2 linked regions of the Caenorhabditis elegans genome follow. The protein of the gene in region 1 purifies or fractionates together with the protein of each later gene. This does not show direct contact. Each region holds a gene or a part of one and is shown in the gene's direction. Other genes may lie near its edges.

Region 1 (4,985 bases):
TAACTGAAAATTGGTGAAATATCACTAGAAATATTATTAAAATCATTTTGAAGCAGCAAAAAATGGGCAAAATTCGAAGAAAACTTAAAAATCTAGTTTTATAGCTAAAATGACCGAATTTTTGGGCAGAAAATCAGTTGTTCAAAACAAGTTTGAGGAAATATCTGGAAAATTGGGGATTTTGCCAAGAAATTCCATAATTTTTGGCTGGAAATTGAAAAAAATTGATTTTTAAGATTAAAATTTAAAATTTTAGGGTTTTAAAAAATATTTCATTTGGTAATTATTGAATTTTGGATAAAATTCACGTAAAACCGCCATTTTTGAATCTGAATATCTGACTTTTAGCCCTAAATATTATAATTTTAAATTAAAAAACCCGAAAAATGGGTATTTTCCGATCATTTTCCATGAATTTCTATAAAAAATTTTGAAAATTCTCCGAGTTTAGGCTTTTAAAACTGAATTTTCCAGTGAATCTGAACATTTTCGCTTGAAAAATTGAATTTTTAAGCTGAAAAACAGAAATTTCCAGCGGTTTTTTCTCATTTTTTGCGAGAAAATCGCTACCTTTCCACTATAATCGGCCACAAAAGGCTCGAAATCGCCGAGTTGCTCGGCGAGCTCATCTGCACCCAAATCAAAAGCTTCCATCTGAAAATTAATCCCTAAAACTCTGAAAAATCATTGGAGTAAGCGGTAAATTCAGCGATTTTCTTGAGAAAACGCGTAAAAAAGCGAAAAAATCCACATAATACAGAATAAAACATGGCGATTTTTATTTTTTATAATTTTATATGCAATTTATGTACATTTTTATAGGTTTTCCGGGGTACTTTTCGAGGCTAAATCGCCGTCGGAGGTGTCCGTAGCTTCGAGAATTCGTCTAAATCGCTGTAAAGCTTCTCTTTTTTGATTTCCAGCAGCAAATCCTGTCGCTCGTCGTCAGTTTCCACTCCGATTTCGCGTAGATCGTCATCTGACATCTCCACGAGCACTCTGCCTGAAAAAATTAGGAAATTAGGGTTTTTTTTCCGGAAAAAATCGATTTTTCGGTGAAAAATCGAATTTTTTGGTCAATTTTTCTCTTTTTCTCACCTGTAACATTGTGTCGCAAGAAGAAATGAGCGTATTTCAGCGCAAAACGTGGCCGTTTCCTCCGAAGCCACTGATCAACGTCGTTTGCCGACCAAAAGTATATCGGACGGTGCGAAACCACGTGGTACACCTCTTGCACGTTTGTTGTCATTTTTTTCGCCGAAAAATTCGAGAAAATCGGCGAAAAATCGGGGAAATGGGCTGAAAATGGTGGAAAATAATAATAAAATAAAAATAAAAATGAATTGTCTCTGCGTCTCCTCGATTCTCACGCTCTCTCGCGCCGGGTCTCAGTGGAGCGCGCTTGCTTTGGTTTTCGAAATTTAAGGGAACATGCAGAAAACGCGGAAATAAAAGAGAATTTCGCGATTTTCGTAATAAAAGCTGGGAAATAATTATTTTAAGATTTCAAATGTTAATAAAAACTATTAAAAAACGAAAATTCGATATTTGGAGCTTATTTTGTTTTTTAAAACTTTGTTTGGAGTACGGTAGTTTCTGTTCTGTGCAGCGTGAACCGCGTAAGAGGCATTCAATTCTACGACAATTATTTTCGAAATTGTTTTATTTATTTAAATATTTTCCCCGAAATTCGCCGATTTTCAGCTAAAAATCCAGTTTTTCAGCCAAAATGGAGCCCGATGATAATGAAATTCGATGCCAAATCATGTGGCAGCTCAAGCAGGACAAGAAATATGATGGTTTGTAGCTTGAAATTCGAAAAAAAATCCTAAATTTCCCTAAAATTCCAGAAATCGCCGATCATGTGCTCACGTGCTGTCTGGATTGTATCACAAATCCCAGAAAACAGTTTGGAGGCCGCGAAATGCTATTTCCAGACGCTCCACCGCCCTGGATTAGTAAGGGATTTTGGGAAAATCCGGAAATTGTGGCATTTTCTCGAATTAAAAACTCGAAAATTTGTTGAAAATACTGCAAAAGCCAGAAAATAGCGGCTGTTTTGTTAAATTTTGTAGCAAAAACTCACTAGAAATCATAATGTTTTAGAGTTTCAGTAAAGTCAACCGATTTTCATTAGAAACTCCAGAAATTGAGACTTATTACTACTTAAAATTCAATTTTTTAAGAAGAACTTTGAAATTCTACGAAAAAAACAACGGAAATTGCTAATTTTTGCCAGTTTTCTGGAAAATTTACATAAAATTGAACAAAAATGTAATTTTTCCGAATTTTTTTCCGTAATAGTTTGCTATTTCTATTATTACTTTGATTACAACTAAATTTTTGGAAAAAAAACCTAAAAATTGGATTTTCCGAGCTATTTCCCCTGTGACTTGTGCGTTTCTCAGATTTTTGGCATAAAAACTGTATTTATTCACATTTTACGCCATAAATTGGCTGAAAATGTGAATAAATACCGTATTTCTGGCAACAATTTGACAATAGAGCACATTTGTCACTCGGAGATGCGGAAGCTATGCCCAAATTTTCAATTTTCAGTCAAAAACTTGTAATTTTCAGCACTTTTTGTTGATTTTTCGCATTTCTCAATACGAAATTCGATTTCTTCGTCACTTTGTACCCCCGAAACCCGGTTTTCCGCCAATTTAGACGAATTGTCGTAAAGTTCGATGCCGAGTACGTAATACTCGGTGTTTGCGTACTTTCGGGGCTACCGTACCCCTCGATATTCAAAAATAGGCTTAGAAGCCCGGCAAAAAAAAGCATCCGGGGTGAAATTAAACGGGGAACTTGAATTTTAGTGTGAGCATCTTTGAAAACTTCTGAAAAAGTCGAAAAATGTTCAATTTTCAGTGTTTGCGTACTTTTGAAGCTACAGTACCCCGCAAAAAATGTTAAATTTAGAACAAAAAACGACTCAAAGTGAAAAAGAGCGGAGAATTCAAATTTGATATTGAAAATTTCAGAAAAATTAAGAAATACGAACGATTTTTTGTTGAAAAACTCCGAAAAATCCGTACATTTGGATTTTTCAACAATTTTTAAAAAAATTATTGATAAAATCGATTTTTAAACAGTATATCTAGCAGTAAATAACGAAATTCAATATATTTGATTAGATTTTAACAGAAAAAATCGAAAAATTACAGAAAAGCCACCCTCCTGAACTATTTATTCCCCTGTGACTTGTGCGTTTCTCAGATTTCTGGCATAAAAACTGTATTTATTCACATTTTACGCCATAAATTGGCTGAAAATGTGAATAAATACCGTATTTCTGGCAACAATTTGACAATAGAGCACATTTGTCACTCGGAGATGCGGAAGCTATGCCCAAATTTTCATTTTTTCCCGAAAAACTTGCAATTTTTTCCAAAAAATGTCGAAAATTTTCCAGAAATGCCAGAATCCGAGAAATCAGATCCCCAAGCGTGGCGAAAATATCAAAAACGTCAAGTTCACCAACAAATGACACCCGAAGAATTCGACGATTTCCTCATAGAATCCGACTTTGGAGACGAACGAATGTGCCACGAAATCGCGAAATTCAAGCGAATCGAACGAGTCGAGGCGTGGATTGTGCTCCGCGAGCTCCGGAAGAAGCAGCGAGAACGGAGACTTGAAGCCGAGAAAATTGCGCGAGAAATCAAGAAACGAGAGACTGACGAGAAGCGGGAAGCCGAGAAATTGAAGAAAATGGACGAAAAACTGAAGATTCAGGAGAAAAAGCAGCAAAAAGACGATGAAAAACAGGAATATTTGGATAAAATTCACGAATTGGAGGAGGTTTTGGGTGTTGCGGCGGAGCCCAAAGAGGGGCCTTCCCTGGAGCCCGGAGAGCTCGTCGTGGAGCCCCGCCGGCATCAAAAAGTGTATAATGTGAAGAACTCAATGCCATGGGCTCCATCTCCGTATGATGTGCTCTGTTCGGAGCATCGATCCACAATTCCCCATCAACAACAGAAGAGAATGAACGCGATGTACTCGAATTTAATGTATTTTGGAGAGTTTCAGCATACCAGCAATAGGCGAGAGCTTAAGGTGTGAGATTTCGATGGAAAACTGAATTTTTTGACCTGAAAACGGTGAAAAATCGCAAAAATCTGAAAAAAAATCAGCGTTAAAAACCTGAAATTTAGGCTGAAATCTGATTTTTTGAGCCAAAATTCCGGAAATTTAGGCGATTTTCCGCTGAAAAATCGAAAAGTTGGTGAGAAACTCGTTTCTGAGCGATTTTCGCCTGAAAAATCAAAAAATTGGTGAAAAACTGATTTTTTGAACTAAAATTTATGAAATTTGTCGAATTTTCAGTTAAAATATCAAAAATTTATGAAATTTGACGAATTTTCAGTTAAAATATCAAAAATTTAGTATAAAACCTAATTTTTGAGAAAAAATTCCGGAAATTGAAGCGATTTCCGGCTGAAAAATCGAAAAATCGGTGAAAAACTGAATTTTTGAACTGAAATTCCGGAAATTTGACGAATTTTCTGTTGAAAAATCGAAATTTAGGTGAAAAACTGATTTTTTGAACTGAAATTTATGAAATTTAAAGATTTTTTAGTTAAAAAAAAATCGCAAATTCAGTGTGAACCGAATTTTTGAACTGAAATTCGGGAAATTTGTCGAGTTTTCAGTTGAAAAATCGAAAAATTGGTGAAAACCTGAATTTTGAAGCCAAAATTCCGGAAATTTGACTGATTTTCAGCTGAAAAATCGAATAATTGGTGAAAAAGTAAATTTTTGAGCCAAAATTTATGAAATTTCATAGATTTTCAATGGAAAATTCGCAAAAAACTCGAAAAATCAGCGTTAAAATAAGAAAATTTAGTGGAAAACCATGAAATTTGCTGAAAAATCGGGAAAAAAGTGACTTATAGCATGAAAAACTATGAAATTTGGTGAAAAACTGAATTTTCGAGGTAAAATTCATGAAATTTGACGGATTTTCAGTTGATAAATCG
Region 2 (4,335 bases), on another chromosome or scaffold:
GCTAAGAAGATGAACCTGATGTTCGCCAAGCATTTGACCACTGCTATCTGGAAAAGTCTGTAATTTTAAGAAGGGAAATAATATTGGAATAAACAATTTGTTTGCAGGACATCCAGATACTGTAATGCAAATTCAGACAAATCGAGAGGAAGCACGTCAACTTTCGAAATTGATTGTGAAAACTATGAATGACGATGAAGGAAAAGGGGTGAGCAATTTTTATGGGGAAACAGATATTAAAGTTGAAATTCTAGCCAAAACCGTTCCGGCCGTGGCGATTCGTAATTTCTACGGATGAAAAATCTCCAACGGAGTTTGTCACAATGACAGGATGCGGAAGAAATTCTTCAGTTATTAGTGAAGCCAGCGATTTGACGTAAGAATTTTTTGAATATAAAGTTTCCAATTGAAAGTTGCAGAAAAGTCGAGCGAGCTCTTCTTCTCGTTATTCTCGAAGAAATGATTTCCTCAGATGGAACCGTTCAAATGGATTGGGTTCATTCTCAAATTCGGCATGAACCATGCAAAATGCCTGGCCCTAAATGCGACATTTTCATGGCAAAAATGATGAGACAAAGGTATTTTTTAATGGTAATAAGAATTCAATAATAGTTATCAGTGCATTTTGCATTTCAGACCGACGAAAACGAAGTTGCAGAGATCACACCACGCATTCTAGTCGAACTGGAGCCCTGGCTTCGTGCCAAGTTTACAGGAGACCTCAAAACTTGTGAACTGTGCAGAAAAATCATTTCCCGATCGGTTTACACTGCTGAATGTCAGAAATGTCATGCGTTGTGTCATTTTAATTGCTTCAAAAAGTAGGTTGTTTGCCGGGAAAAGCAAAAAAAACAATGGATTTCAGTGCAACGATAATTTCTCACCAAGACAACGTTGAATGTCAGAAATGCAATCAAAATCTGTCTTTGAATGAGGTTCTCAAGCAAATTGATACCAAGAAGGCCACAGGTGTTCCACGATCGAGAGACACCGTGGCTAGAAGCCCTTCACCAGATTCAGATGTTCCGAAAGCTCCTTCAAGGACACAAAGAGCGAAATCTAAATCGAAAACGCCGGCTCCAGTTGATTCTGACGATGATATGACCATAACTCCTAGGCCGACGAGAGGGAAGCGGAACCAGCGAGTTCCAGACAGTGACAGTGAATAAAGCAGAGGGATTTCTATTTAAAAAATTCGGCTGTGTACTCTTTTTGGACTATTTTTTTGGATTTTGTTTTTTATTTTCTGCCAAACGATGTTTTGAAATACAGACATTTTTTTCAGTTAAAGCTTTCCCTTTTCTATCGTTTTTTGTAGACTGGTTTTTATTCCTATTTCTCTGCATTTTAATCCGAATCCATCCCTCTTCACTTTCCTACCTTCCCACACACGTGTCAAATACCTCACCTTTTCCCTCCGGTTCACTGACTTTTCCCACCCGCGATTTTCATCCCATTTTTCATGCATACATCTTCAATGAAACATTTTTTAGAATGTAATTTTCCCGATATAACCACGTTTTAAATCTGAAATTGCTGGTTTTGACCTGAAAATCTGAAAGTTTTAATCTCCTCTTTCCTCTGCTTATCATTGTGTTTTCTACCGGGCCCGTCACACGAGAATGCAAGAGATAAATTCATCGATTTTTTTCTGATAATTCAATTGATTTTATTGTTCGAATTGATTGCATTTTTCTAGCCGCTTGCTTTTTTCTGCTTCAATTTTTGGAAGACTTTTGAATTTTACAGATGACCTCAACAAAAGCCTATGTTTTGGCTTTGGCCGGTTGCACAAATTCCGGGAAATCCACGTTAGCAAAGGAATTTCAACGATTTGTAAGTTGAAACAAAGAAGTCGGAACAATGTTAGCTTTCTCGTAAGACGCAGTTTATATGCAATTCATCGTGCTTCACACTTTACATCAAAATTTGAGACTCTGTGAGGCTGTCCAACAACGATTAATATATTGTATTTTCAGTTTGGTGCCGGCGAGACTACAATAATAAATCAAGACGAATTTTACAAAACTGAAAACGAGGTTGGTTTAGAAAATCCGAAAAAAAGCCATCACAAACAAAACACAGAATTAACTTTATTTCCGTACAGAGAAAGAGTGGGCTCGACTCGCCTTTTTATGAGTACTGTAGTTTTAAACTTTTCTCTAGGAAATTTTAATCGATTTTGTAGTTTGTCGTTTAAGCTTTGTTTTGTAACAAACAACTAAAATAAAAAATTGAAAACAAATACATTTTAGAAAATTGCAATTAATTGTGAGAAAAACTATGAAAAATCAATGAAAATTACAAGTTTTTAATTACAGTACTCTTTAAAGGCGCACATCCGTTTGTATTGAACGAAAATTGTCTAGTCGAGACCGGGTACCGTGTTTTCAGCGGAAAAATCTCAACATTTCGCGTCTGGGGTTTCAGAAACTTTTTTCAAAAAAAAAAAACGTTATTTCAGGTTGAAAAAATTTACCACCCGGACGCTGAGCATCTCACCGATGAGGGATATTATTGGAGTTTTGACGAAAAAGAAGCGATAAATATAGATCAGTTTCGACAACGGATTCTCAATGAATCGAAAGTTTATAAAAATGTGATAATCGACGGGAATATGATTACCGAAATGGACGAAATCGTGGATCTGTGTGATCGGATAGTTGTGATGACACTGGATTTTGTAAGATTCTTTCGATTAATATTATTAAAATTTCTAACTTTTTCAGAAAACCTGCAAACGAAGACGCGAAGCTCGAACAGATTATGTGCCTGCAGACACACCTGGATATTTTGTCAACGTCGCTTTTCCTGCTTATGTTAGACATTTAGAAAGGGCGAGGCAAAGAAGTATGAGTCTGATTCCAATTTCCAATTAAACATTTTTTGTTTAAGGTCGCACAGATTCCCGATTAACATTCATCGATGTCTCGGAGTCCAAATTTGATGACAAGAACAAGTCGATAGTTAACTTTAGACAACAAATCCTTGATGATCATATAAAACTGACTGATGAAGTGATAGATGTGAAGGTTGTGGATCAGCTTGTTAGTCAGTATGTTTTAATCTTTTCAAACTAACAACAATAACCTCTCCTATTTCAGCCCTTCCTGTGGAGCAATATCCACCTTTAACGGTGTGACACGTGATAACCATGGAGGTCGTGACGTCAGCAACCTTTCCTACGATTGTCACGACTTGATGGCATACAAGAAGCTACGTGGAATCTGTGCAGAAATTCGAGCGGAATATCCGGATGTTAAGAAAATCGCGATTTTTCATCGTCTAGGAAAAGTAGACATCGGAGAGTCATCTGTGATAATTTCCACGTCTTCACCACATCGGAAGACTGCAATTCAAGCCACTGAAAAATGTATTGATTTATTGAAGGAGCATGCACCAATCTTTAAATACGAAGAATACTCGAATGGAGAAGTGGACGGAGTTTGGAAATCAAATATCGAAGATTCAAAACAATGATTTAATCTGAAGATGTTTTTTATAATTTTTATGGATATGAGCTTATTTGTGATATGTACATTGTACATTTTTGAATAGATGAACTTGCTAGCTAGAATTTTAGAGAATAAATGTTTTCTTTTTCTCCTTCGCCTCATAACTGCACTTCTTTTCAAAGAGAACCTGACATGAATGGTGTCACCGGTAGCGTGTGTGTTTTGTGTGCAGCGGGTCGCTGGTTCGACCCCCAGCCGTCGATGACGACCAAGAGTTATCCCTGTCTGAATGATTGTGAGGACAAAAGACTATGGTAACACTCCGAGACTAGTTTTTCATTTTATTCTATAAAATTTTGTTTGAAAATCATTTATTGCATTAATACATGGCTCCCGTAGATACAACCCATTTGAATCATCGTATGCTATTTCTTAAAGCATCAATTCAAGTCAACTTGCTGCTCGTATTCTTCCGAATTGAAAGTGAAGACTATTTCTGAAAATAATTTTTAAAATTGGAATATTTTGGAAAAGTGTACCATAAGAAAAAATATGCAAAAGAACTTTGGTAGATATAACAATTGAAATAATTATACCAAGAAAATCCAATAATTCAGTGTTTATCGCCAATTCCCACATCCATAAGAAGCTGACTGATAACATCATTCGGGTGATATGAAGTGATAGAAGAAGGAATTCACAGATAAACTGAAACATTTAGAATAAAAATCTCAAGATATTCTATAATTTCTCGAACAGGACAATTTTCAGAATCAACATAAGGTTCGTGGTCCTAAAACGTTGCTAACTACCGTAACCGCGATTTTTTTTAACGGTAAATACATTTTTCTAAAGTTACTGTTTTTTGAAGGAAAACTAT

Evidence for each region.
Region 2: the proteins of M01G5.1 (region 1) and nmrk-1 fractionate together in Caenorhabditis elegans (co-fractionation; one large-scale study listed by BioGRID). This does not show direct contact.

What each region holds. Positions count from the first base shown.
Region 1 is NC_003281.10:1,494,677-1,499,661, forward strand, and holds the start of M01G5.1 (Casc1_N domain-containing protein), read left to right. Parts: upstream 1-1,724; 5' UTR 1,725-1,729; coding exon 1,730-1,799; intron 1,800-1,850; coding exon 1,851-1,958; intron 1,959-3,418; coding exon 3,419-4,062; intron 4,063-4,985. Other genes in the region: Y82E9BR.19 (F-box domain-containing protein), read right to left, coding at 571-654; ave-1 (SAM domain-containing protein), read right to left, coding at 846-1,003, 1,099-1,249.
Region 2 is NC_003279.8:6,105,130-6,109,464, reverse strand, and holds nmrk-1 (Molybdopterin synthase catalytic subunit), read left to right. Parts: upstream 1-1,749; coding exon 1,750-1,836; intron 1,837-1,979; coding exon 1,980-2,039; intron 2,040-2,464; coding exon 2,465-2,683; intron 2,684-2,729; coding exon 2,730-2,850; intron 2,851-2,895; coding exon 2,896-3,055; intron 3,056-3,104; coding exon 3,105-3,480; 3' UTR 3,481-3,602; downstream 3,603-4,335. Other genes in the region: nse-1 (Phorbol-ester/DAG-type domain-containing protein), read left to right, coding at 1-55, 108-208, 255-376, 420-591, 637-821, 866-1,169; T27A3.8 (NADH dehydrogenase subunit 4L), read right to left, coding at 3,896-3,951, 3,995-4,163.